Nothobranchius furzeri: one gene and its partners. The protein of the gene in region 2 interacts with the protein of the main gene of each other region in a biochemical or structural test. Links are inferred from orthologs where the notes say so. Each region holds a gene or a part of one and is shown on either strand. Other genes may lie near its edges. The genes, in order: ube2s, anapc11 and ube2c.

Region 1 (4,210 bases), on a different chromosome or scaffold from region 2:
CTTCACATATGCATCCAGTCTTAAATAAGTAAACAACATGCGTAGATTAGATTCCGTTTAACCTATGAGAACCGAAAATAACGTAAAATTAGCGGTGCAAACATCTTATTTTATGGGTTTCAAACGAGAAGTGCTAACGTATTCCAACGGGTTGAAATAAACGGTGACGTTGTGCTACAGCGCCCTCTAGTGGTCATGATTAGAAACGGGCGCATTACTAGAGGTGGTGATAAAATATTACAAATGTGGTCCTGGCTCATAAAAAACACCCTAACTACACATAACTGCGTGTTAATCCGCCACATAACTACACTCTTATGAATCGCACACAGTACAGTTTTCATTGGCGTGTTTTGTATTGAATGAGCTTCAACTCTTCCTGATTAGATTTAACACATGACTGTTGTTTTTCAGTGATTGTAGAGCACTGAACCATGATTAGAATGATGAACAACACATTTGAACTATTAGATTATCCAATTGAAAATTATGGATTGGCAGTATCTTTGGTTTTCAAAAACAAAAACGTTCTCCTTCATAAGTAATATAAATGTCAGCGACAACATATGTGTAATGACACGAAATCAATAGAATACATTACATTTTCAAAAGTAAAAATTATCACTCTCTGTTACTTTTATGTATAACAACTTCTTTAATGTATTTTACAACACTTTTATTGTATTTATCATTTATGCATTTTATCTTATTTTATTCTAGATAAGCATCTATCTATCTATCTATCTATCTATCTATCTATCTATCTATCTATCTATCTATCTATCTATCTATCTATCTATCTATCTATCTATCTATCTATCTATCTAGCTGATATATTGGATATGACAATGAATATGTTAGTACTTATGTGAATAAAGAATAGTAAATGTATAGTTATCTGCCCCGAATGTAATGTCTAACTTAAAAAAACAGTTCGTGTTTTAATAATCAAACGTATTCTGATCATTAAAAAATTCGTGAAATCCACAAATCCTTTAGTAAATGTATTTGTTGCGTTCTGAACTAACAGGGAACCTTTTAACTCCACCTTCCCGGAGCACCGCCAGCGTGTGCTGACATAAAAGGGTGCCGATCCATTATTAATCAAGGGCGTGTTTTTTTTTCTTTTCAAAATGACCAATAGCTGATTGGTATCAGTCCTGTTTCGGCGCGGTTTGGCTGATTGTGCTCCTACTGATGACGTAACAGAAATACTCTATCTTGTTTGGCTGTAATCGTCTGACGCGTAATTTCACTAAAATGCCGATTGGTCAATGGCAGTAGCTTAAACTGAGAAACGTAATTTCGTTCCTGGGAAAAGAAGAAAACAAAAACAGTTAGACTGGACTAAGTTTTCAACCAAGATTGTATTTCTTTTCGAACTTTATTAGAAAACACGTTTTTTTTTATCTGACACCAGGCGGACATTTATCACCTCAACAGATCTCTTTTTCGAAGATGGTAAGACTTAGCATCATGCTAACAGCTAACGGTTGCCTAGCTTGAGTCGATGTTAAGTCGTCGAAACATTTTCTTTATTATTTGAGTTTTGACTATTTTATATGTATTCCGGTAGTTGTTGAGAAAAGAACCTTCATTTTAAAACCTATCCAACGTCTTTAGTATAACTAATATTGGAATAAAATAACAAGAAGCGTTGAGGTTACCTGCTTAAAGCTAGGCTTGTAATGCTAGCTGTAACATAAATGTACTTAAGTTCATTTGATCGTTAGCGGACATTACAAACATTTGACTTATCTAAAGGTGTAGTTTTAAAAGACGCGTTCATACTGAGCTTGCCCTAAACGTGTTGATTGCTGAATTTGAAGTAACATTTCCAGATACTCAACAAGATGCGAACTAATGTGCCTTTTTTTGTATGAATATTATGGAAATAAAATAATGTTTTGCGTAGAAAACTTTCCTCTTTTATCTCCGTGTGAGATAAATAGTTCCCCAGCGAGGTTGTAAAACTGTTTTATCTGATTTAAACGATCAAAAATGATAATAAATTGGCAGAAAGACTGGCAAATAGGTAGAAACTTTGACACAATGCATTATTTTCACTTTAAACATCTTCTGTACGTTCATTTTGTGTATCTTTTTAAATACAATACAATTATTAATATTACTAATATTGTTTAGTTTTTGTCTATGCATAATTTTAAGTGTAACTTCTGATATTTCGTGTTTATTTATTAAAAAATTCAAATTAGCAAAGCAAACAGTCATTTATGACGTGCATTATTGAGTTAAAGCCATTTTAACGTTGGCCATCAACAGTGTAAAGGTGAAATTTATATATTTTATTTAAAAATATTGTTTCATGTTTAGAAATTCAGTGTTCATACCGAAACTCTTTAGTGCTAAGTCGTTGCTCTGTCTCTCCTCAGAACTCTAATGTCGAGAATTTGCCCCCTCATGTTCTGCGTTTGGTCTACAAAGAGGTTTCCGCTTTAGCAGCAGACCCACCTGAGGGCATCAAGATTTATCCCAGTGAAGAAGACATAACTGAACTCCACACGTCCATTGAAGGACCAGGTAACAGTCAGGATGCAACAAAAACTAAACATCTGTTATTGTTAGTTTAGTTTGATTATCTTACACACTTCCCATTTCAGTTGGTTAAAGAGACAGTGTGTAGTTTTTACTAGGGATGCACGATATATCAGCATTAATATCAGTATCGGCCAATGTTAGTCATTTTTTAACATAGCGATATCAGTCCGACAAGTAAAACTGGGCCGGTATTAACAAACAATATTTTTTCCATCTTGTTTCTGTTTGTGTATCTGTTTCCGAGGGTAAGGGGGGTGATGATGTGTAATTGTTTAGTCCTGTGACAGTGAAGGTAACAGATAAATGTGTGTTTATATAATATATTGCCAATTCCACTTAACAGAAATGAAGCAAAACATTCAAAAATTCAGCTTGCATAATTTCAGTCTATACAAAAGTAGCTGATTTCAGAAGCATAAATCAGTATCGCAAACATCTGTTATCGGCCGTAACGGTGATATTAATATCGGTCCAAAAAATTCATATCGGTGCATCCCTAGTTTTTACTGTCAATCTCTGAAAAAATCCATCAAAACTTTATTGAAAATAAATAAAGTTATGTCCAGTCGTTGAAAAGTATTGGCGGCTTTGTACCACAAACCCATAAGGTAGTTCTCATAGGGTGCGGGTCTGGTGTTTATTGGGGACACCTTGTTTCCTTCTGGCTGGCTCGGCGTCCTGTGCCTGTTGATGACGTCACACTAGATGAATGGCTGACTCACAGAAGTTGCGTTACCACGTTCACAAGCATTTAGGTAGTAAGAAACACAAATTTAATAACAAAACTGCTAAACTCTTTCCAAAACATATGTGGAAGAACAGAATCGAAAAAGAGATGCAGTATATTTTGACCGCGCGGTATTGTCGTAGTATGGTGATGTCATCAGCAGGCGCAGGACACCGAGAAGATCCAGAAAGTACAGCGTAGGGCTGCTCAATTAATCGAATTTTAATCCCAATTACGATCTGAGTTTTGAACGATTATAAAAACAAGCCGATTATTTGCTCCTCCCACTTGCGCTGCCCTGAGTTGCAAATGAAGCGCTCCTCCGTGTTGCCAACTTATCGACTTTGACGCTATTTCTAGCAGCTTTTCAGACCCCCTTCTTGACTTTTTAAATCTTAAAAGTACCTAGCGAACACCTCAGAAACATCTCTGGTAACCCTTAGCTACTTTCTGGATAACTGTCGTCGACATTTCTGCAGGTTAGCTAAACACTCCGCCTGCGCTCCGGACCGTTCTTCAGGACATTAGGAAAGGGAATGATGTAGTGATGTGTCAGTCGCTAAAGAAACGGCTCTCGGAGTCGGCTCCTTGTTGGAGTAACTAGAGTGAGTGACACACACACCGCACCTGCGGGCTCCTGAGCCGCTAAAAATGGCTAAATGTGCGCGTGCGGCGCGCTAAACACACGTGCATCTTGCCCATGATTGCTGTGAGACCGGGTTGGGGGGTGGGGGGGTGCAGCTGTGGTTGGGACAATTATTACATTAACTGATGGACTTGTAAATAAATAGTTTATAAATAAGGTAGAAATAAGTTCCTCACACTGATAACTAATAACTAACCTCTCTGAGGACACGGTGCTAGTGCACTCTCCTACAGCACCTTGACACGACTAAATAAATGTTACGCAACATTTTGTGAACA
Region 2 (3,354 bases):
ATTTAACAAACTTAATCCAACTAGTGATGGTCAGATTAAGTGTCTGGATCGTTAGATTTTCGTATTAGCCAAGACTTTATGATTGATCTGGGCGGAATTAATCTGATATAAGTAGATCGGTCAAATAATGCAGATGCATCCTTAACTTCAAGGGAACAAGACATATTTAGCCTTTTTAGGGCCCCGATTCTTAGCGTGTTGTAAATGCTAACTGGCGTAACCAGTCTCAAACTAAACTCATATTGTTAAGCAGCTTTTGATGCCTCTGGTCCCTTCTGGCCCGTTACTAGGCCAGCTAGCTAAATTGATTTTACTCTGATGACTTGTACAATTACTGAACTCACTTAGATATGCATTTCCTAGACGTAATAAGACAGACTATTGAGCGTTTTGCTAAAACCTTATCTCATCAGTGTTTGGTTAGTTGACGACAACAACGAGCTAAGACAAAAACGTCCTCCTTACCTTATTTTTATCTGCTGGACAAATATCCTTCTTTAAAGTGTCTCCTATTAAGATAAAAATTAAAGAAAAAACAAACAACTAAAGCAAGTTGGGTGACTTATATTACCACTCAGAATGAACGGCTAGCTCAACGGTTATCATTTAGAAGCATGCTGAAGCTAACCACAGGGCCTGTTTTCTGCCTCCTGGTTAAACTGTGGCCCCCTTCTGGGTGGAGGAGGAATAACACAAAATTCAAACTACAATAAAACGATCAGATTGAATGAATGGATTAACCTGATGATGACAGGTTTAAGGAATTCTAATGTATTGGTGTAAATGTTGAGGTGTTATGGTTGTCCTTACTGATTACAGCTTTGAGGTATTTTTATTTCTAAAAACAGATTAAAGACAACAAAATCACTAAACTAAAATGGCAAATGTATTCTTAAAACGTATAATGGACTTTGGCACGCATCAAAATTTAAAGATGGGTTCATTAAAGTCTCTAAAATTAGGTATTATTGATAAAATCACAAATGCTGCCAACTTTTCAAAAATATTTCATATTTAATTTTTTATTTATAGCTATTGTAACTTTATAATATAGTTCCCTCCTCATTTATTCATGCGTCTTCTCCTTAACACAAATAATCCGAAAAGGCCAAAAACAGCTTCAATAAATGTCTTCTAAACAGAACCAAAATGTAGTTGCAACTGTTCGCCACTGGAGGGCGGCAATAGCTCATTTTATTCATATAAAGTCAATTAAAACTGCGCTTGTCGCGCCGTAGCTAGCTGAGTTTAGCTATTATCATTTTAAGCAATTATATTTGTAGGAAATTTCTTAATTATGTTATTTAAAAAATCTGGGTCCTTTCTAGCAAGGGGATTACAGATGGGTTAGTACCACAATTAAGTTTCCTCAAGGCTCAGGAAAATGTGATCGCTCATTTGTCAAATGTACATAAATTATGTGTTATTGAATTAAGTATATTTTCTGAGATGTTATTCCTCCATGCCAACATGTCTTTGCATGTCTGCAAATAAAACACCGCAGAGTAGCAGGTGAGAATTACTTTTTCTAAAGAGGGACATATTTCGTTGTAACACCGGATGACAGAAGTAGAAGAATGCTAAGCTAGTTAATTTGATTCTAAGTGTGTGCATTTACTTTAATGAACATACGTTTTTACTGTTGTTGCAAATCATTAAGGCTCATTGGTAGCTGCTCCGTGAACTGTGGTAAATATTTCAATCTGGAAAAAGTGCATTTGGTGGCGATCAATGCAGCTTCTGTGAGACGAACGCCAACCCCGGAAGTAACGGGACACAGCCTTACGTTGCAGAAAACAAATCTTTTTCAAAGTTGTATTTTACTGCTATTGGATGTCGGAAGGAAGAAACTGAATAACTCGCGGACCTGAAGTGCGGTTTGAGGATGAAAGTTAAGATCAGGCAGTGGAACGGGGTGGCCTCCTGGTTGTGGGTGGCCAACGACGAAAACTGCGGGATCTGCAGGATGTCCTTCAACGGCTGCTGCCCGGAGTGTGAGTAACCGAGCTGGGATGGGTTCTGGTTCGAAAGTAGCACCAAATCCGATGTCCTAAAATTAGATTTTAAATGTCCAGAACTAGAATAGGATGCCTTACATTAGCTTAAAACTATTGTTACAGAGCTGCTGAAAGGAAAATGTTTCAGGGTATGTTTGCTGTTAAGGGTGATCCTGCCCTAATGAGATCTGGAAGGCTAACTGAGGCCTACAACGATCTATTTTATTCTATTTAGGTACATCTGAGTGACAAAGGATTACAAAACATCCTTCATCTTTTGGATCAGTAGAAGAACAAACTGTAAAATGTTACTACAGCACCTTAAGAAAGGTCTTATGAATGTTTGTTGTCTGCATCTCATATCTCAAAAACAGCATAGGTTGCTGGTTTAGCTTGTGGACAAGCATACAATGCTGGTCCAGCATCCCATGCTAGACTAGCATTACATGGTGGAGCATCTTACCAGTACCAGTACAAAAGCACAACATATGCTGGAAACCAAACCAGCTGTGCTGTATTTTTCAGCAGGTTCTCTTCAACCTTTTACAGTGACTATTAATAAAATGTAATTAAAGTCTCATTTTGCAGGTAAAGTTCCTGGAGATGACTGCCCACTGGTCTGGGGTCAGTGTTCCCACTGTTTCCACATGCACTGCATCCTGAAATGGCTGAACTCACAGCAGGTGCAGCAGCAGTGTCCGATGTGCCGCCAGGAATGGAAGTTTAAGGAGTGAATCTGTTCATCTGTTTGCAGAATTCCCACATTTTTATCCCAGCTGTAAATAACAAGAGTTGTATTCGTCTACACTGATGCACAATTTTTCTGTTAAGTTTGTGATTAAATCTAAACAAATGAATTATGCTGTTGTGCTGTTGATTTACTGCTGCATCAGACTGATTCAAACTGCAATTCTTTTCAATTAGTTGATGTTTGTGTTTAAAAAAAAGGGGGAAATGGTCAAATAAAGGACAAAAACATAAGTTTTATACAGCAGTATCTAAAGGGTCCGCTGAAAAAAATATTCATCATAGATTTGACACTGCAGGACCAGAAAGGTACTTGGAGAGCAAGTCACCCCCAAATTAACTTTCTTTTCTGATGAACTATATTCAATTCAAAAATACTTTATTAATCCCAGAGGGAAATTAGAGTTTCTGTACACACTAGGGCCCGACTGATATATCGGCCGGCCGATATTGGGGTATTGGCCTAAAAGACGGCTGATGTGGCCGATATTGCGCTACCTATCCAGCAGATGGCACCAGCTTTATGAACTCGTGTTGTGTGTCTCCACTCCTTTGAACTTTGAACACAAATTATTGTTTTGGAACTTATTTATTTATTTATTCTTATTTA
Region 3 (4,139 bases), on a different chromosome or scaffold from region 2:
TCTGTTATTTAACGAGCCGAAACTACTCTGAGTACCCCTCCTCTCTACCCACTGAGTCGTTGGCCTCTATAGACAATAGGCAGCTACAGCTTATAAGCTTGACTCTCCCATTTCCAGTTAGAACTGACAAAGCTCCTCGGATGAGAAGCGAAACGTCTTCAAACCAAAGAAGTCCAGTCACTTTCATTTGAATCCTTTTGGGTTACCATGACCTGGATGACAGAACCTTCACCAGCAAAGTCACAAAAGAGAACTGCTCAAAAGTACCCAAACACCGATTGTATTAGTAGCTGGCCGTTCTCTGGGTTCTGCTGGCTGCCTGAAAGGTTGTGGGTGTACTTACCACCTTGGTTGCTCCACAGTTCTGCTGCGGTCGTGTTCAGAGGACTCTCGTTGTTTGGTTCTGGGGAATACAGAAGGAATTGTGTGCTGCTCTCTGAGCTGTGCAAAGATGGCTCTGATGGATCCATCAGGTTTTAGCAGACAGCAAACTGGTGGTTCCGGTTACCTCCCAGTAGACTCTGGATGGACAGCAGGATAGAACGAACATCGTACAGTGCCGACCACTTGTCCTTCAGGATGTCGAGACAGATGAAGCCCTGATCGTCCACATTGGGATGGAAACACGGAGTGACGAACTTTACCCGAGGAGCATGGTACGGATACCCAGCTGGAAACTCCAGAGACAGACGGTACCGGAGGCCTTCGTACACCTGGGCACACAGGTAAGAGTGTCGGGTGAATCAGAGCAGCAAGTGGAGGGGTCAAGTTTTAGATCGTGCTGTATTTATGTGGTCATACTGTTCCTTGGGCTCCATCGATGGTTCCGACCCATTTGAAGAGATTATCCGATTCTGGAAAAGCAGAGATGCCCTTATCACCCGACATCTACAGGAGGGAGGAACGCACAGGTCACATGACCTCAGAAATATCAGGTTTTGTTGATTTTACTAATGTCAGGTATGTTGGTATTGATGCTCCTGTGTGAATGATCAGACCAGAGAAATCAATCACAGAAACAAACAAATCATTGATAAGTGTCTGGATGAGAACGGAGCAGCTGACCTGCAGATGACTAACGCCACCTGTGCACTTCAAGCTAAACACTCATCCTAACCAGCACCAACTCTGCATTAGTGTTGAGGCAGGAGATCGTGTGACTATGGGTGCATCAATCAATGAGTAAACACCACCACCCAATGAGGATGAACTTGTGCAGGTCATCAGGTTCGTTAACATTCTGACTAACAACTGTCCTGTGACCCGTTAGGATCGTCCATCTTTCATTTTGTTATTGAAACCAAAATAAAACTATAGATGTGAACTTACCATGAGAGTCATCAGCTCCTGCTGCAACCTACACACACACACACACACACACATACGAATTAAACAAGTGCAACACAGGTCCAGAAATAAGCTGCAGTAATAAGATCAATAACAGAACAATTTGTTTCACAAATAAAAAAAATTCAAGCACCTGATCAGTTAACAACTCAAACTTTCCTGTTTCATAAAATTCATTTTTGTGATGAATAAAACCAGGAGAGATCAGATTTCTTCAGTTTTAGGATCACTTCATTAGCTAAAATATCCAGAATTGAGTTTCAATTTTATTTCCAAATCTGAAGGATCACGCTTTTTCGATTAATGATGCTCTTGTTCCAGATGTTCCCAGCAGAACACTTGGCTCTCAGGCTGCTTTTTACTTGTGGCTTCAACTTTCCAGCGGTCCTAAAAGTAGTAAGGAGGCAGAACTTCCAGTTCTCAGGCTCCTCTGGTGGAACCAGCTTCATGTTTCCACCACATCAAGCAGAAGCACCTTTGCGTAGACTCTAGGTTAGTTTAGATTATCCTGGCACATCTCTAGTTATGCAGCTGCAGGCTCACATTGCTGGAGAACTCACTGGGTTATTGATATTTTATTGTCCAAAGAAGAACCAAGTCCAGCAGAAACGTAGACCGACAGATGGCGTTTCATGTGTGTTATATATCTCCAACTAAAGTTTAGAGCAAAACATTCACTCCCACTCAGAATTAACTGCTTCTACGGAGCCGCTGGTTCTGAACAACATCACACACACACACACACACACACACACACACACACACACCACCTTAGTTCCATCAGTACACAGTGTTTAAGTTATTCTTGTTTAAATTGTGTAGAAGTACATTTCTTTAACTATTTTAAACCTGACTCTCTCTCTTTCCTTGGAGTTAGTACAAAGTGTTGCTTAATCCCTGCAATAAAAAGTTCCGATCTTCTGAACAAAGATCCATCAGATTGATATTTCATATTTCTATGGAATCTCACATTTTATGGTTCAGAAGTAAGATGTAAACGACCCATTCTTTACACCTGTAAGGTTCCGGTTCTGTAACGGCCCGGAACTCACCGTTTGGTCACCGAGCCTCTGGTCGCGTTGCCACTGCTTTCGCTGCCTTTCAGAGCGGCCGTGGAGGAAGCTGCAGCCGCGGCGGGGTCCATATTCTGGGAGGCCATGAATGCTGCTAGTCCGACTCCTGCCGAGGACACAGATATAACATCAGACGGACTGAGCAGGGGAGGCAGGCCGAACCGAGCCGATCAAATCCAACCGAGCGGGCCGTAGCTTCTGTAGCTAACAGCAGCTACATGCTAACTCCCGGAGATTTCAGAGAAAACGCTGAGCCGTGCCTCGTGGTACCGGTCAGAACCACTGGCTCTTTGTCTTCATGCTAACACATGATTACATTTATAGCCATACTATAGCTGATTTAAACACTCACCGGTGTTCAGTTCGTGGTGGAAGGCTGGATTCTCTAGATTCAAACCGATTCTTCTGCCGCCCCCAGTTTAAAACGACGTTTCCTCACAAACAGCCAATCAGTGTCTGACTTTCAAAAAATGAACTACCCTCATCGAACCAATGAGAAGATGGTGATTAAAAAGCTACACTGTAATTGGCCAGTAGAATCAGCCAGAACCCGCCCCCACCATCTAGGCGTTCACACAGCGGAAGTCATTGGTTCAATTTGTTATTTTAAACGCGTTTTTTAAATAAATGAACTTAAAATCTAAGTTATTAAACACATTTTTGTTTACCCCTCCTCCTACAGGGATGTATAAAATCTCCTAGAAGAGTCAAGAGCCTAAATCAAGTTAAATGATGGATCACAAAAATTGGAGCTTGGGAGGATGAGTACACCTGCAGAGGGTCAGAGGGGAATATATATATATATATATATATATATATATATATATATATATATATATATATATATATATATATATATATATATATATATATATATATATATATATAATGAAGTGGCTGATATCAAGAAATCCTACCAAGAACTAGAAAGAGCTGGTCTGAAGAATAGCACAGAGGCACTCATCATGGCTGCACAGGAACAGGCCCTGAACATCTACCACACCAGACAAGACCCAAGGTGTAGAACCCTGAGACAATCCACCACATAACTGCAGGGTGTAAGATGCTGGGAAGGAAAGCATACAAGGAACGCCACAACCAAGCTGCTGGCATAGTGTACAGGAACGTCTGTGCAGAGCATGGACTGGAAGCCCCAAGGTCAAAGTGGGTAACACCCCCTAAGGTGGTTGAGAACAAGAGCCAAGCTCTTGTGGGACTTCCAGATCCAAACTGATAAAATGGTGATGGAGAACCATCCGGACATTGTGTTGGAGGACAAACAACAGAGGACAGCTGTTGTGGTTGATATAGCGATACAAAGTGATGTAACCTCAGGAAAAAGGAGCATGAGAAACTACCTGGGCCTCAAAGAAGAACTTGAGAAAGCCTGGAGAATGAAGACATCGGTGGTGCTCATGGGCATCAGGGCAGTAACCCCCAGACTGGAGGAATCCCAGGAAAACCATCTCAGTCCAGAAAAGTGCAGCTCTAGGAACAGCTAAGATACTGCAGAACCCTCAAGCTCCCAGGCCTCTGGTAGAGGACCCAAGCTTGGATGAGACCACCCGCGGAGGGTGAGATGGGAATTGTGTGTGTGTGTGTAAGCCCATGTTTATTTTTTCAAAGCAACAATAATACCACAAACCATAAATACAAAGTGAACAAGAAAATGAAAGTTTTTTGTTGTTGCAACCAAATCCCATTAATTAGGAAAAACAG

Evidence for each region.
Region 1: the proteins of anapc11 (region 2) and ube2s form a complex in vitro, tested with the Homo sapiens proteins (31 studies listed by BioGRID). The link is inferred for Nothobranchius furzeri from reciprocal best matches to the Homo sapiens genes ANAPC11 and UBE2S.
Region 3: the proteins of anapc11 (region 2) and ube2c form a complex in vitro, tested with the Homo sapiens proteins (66 studies listed by BioGRID). The link is inferred for Nothobranchius furzeri from reciprocal best matches to the Homo sapiens genes ANAPC11 and UBE2C.

What each region holds. Positions count from the first base shown.
Region 1 is NC_091745.1:76,825,125-76,829,334, forward strand, and holds the start of ube2s (ubiquitin-conjugating enzyme E2 S), read left to right. Parts: upstream 1-1,283; 5' UTR 1,284-1,458; coding exon 1,459-1,461; intron 1,462-2,393; coding exon 2,394-2,541; intron 2,542-4,210. Other genes in the region: josd2 (josephin-2), read right to left, coding at 1-39. UniProt on the Homo sapiens protein: Accepts ubiquitin from the E1 complex and catalyzes its covalent attachment to other proteins. Catalyzes 'Lys-11'-linked polyubiquitination.
Region 2 is NC_091744.1:6,780,253-6,783,606, forward strand, and holds anapc11 (anaphase-promoting complex subunit 11), read left to right. Parts: upstream 1-1,535; 5' UTR 1,536-1,885; coding exon 1,886-1,994; intron 1,995-2,585; coding exon 2,586-2,731; 3' UTR 2,732-2,854; downstream 2,855-3,354. UniProt on the Homo sapiens protein: Together with the cullin protein ANAPC2, constitutes the catalytic component of the anaphase promoting complex/cyclosome (APC/C), a cell cycle-regulated E3 ubiquitin ligase that controls progression through mitosis and the G1 phase of the cell cycle.
Region 3 is NC_091743.1:77,062,327-77,066,465, forward strand, and holds the start of ube2c (ubiquitin-conjugating enzyme E2 C), read right to left. Parts: upstream 2,879-4,139; 5' UTR 2,773-2,878; intron 2,527-2,772; 5' UTR 2,507-2,526; coding exon 2,400-2,506; intron 1,358-2,399; coding exon 1,330-1,357; intron 889-1,329; coding exon 802-888; intron 714-801; coding exon 509-713; intron 404-508; coding exon 344-403; intron 1-343. UniProt on the Homo sapiens protein: Accepts ubiquitin from the E1 complex and catalyzes its covalent attachment to other proteins. In vitro catalyzes 'Lys-11'- and 'Lys-48'-linked polyubiquitination.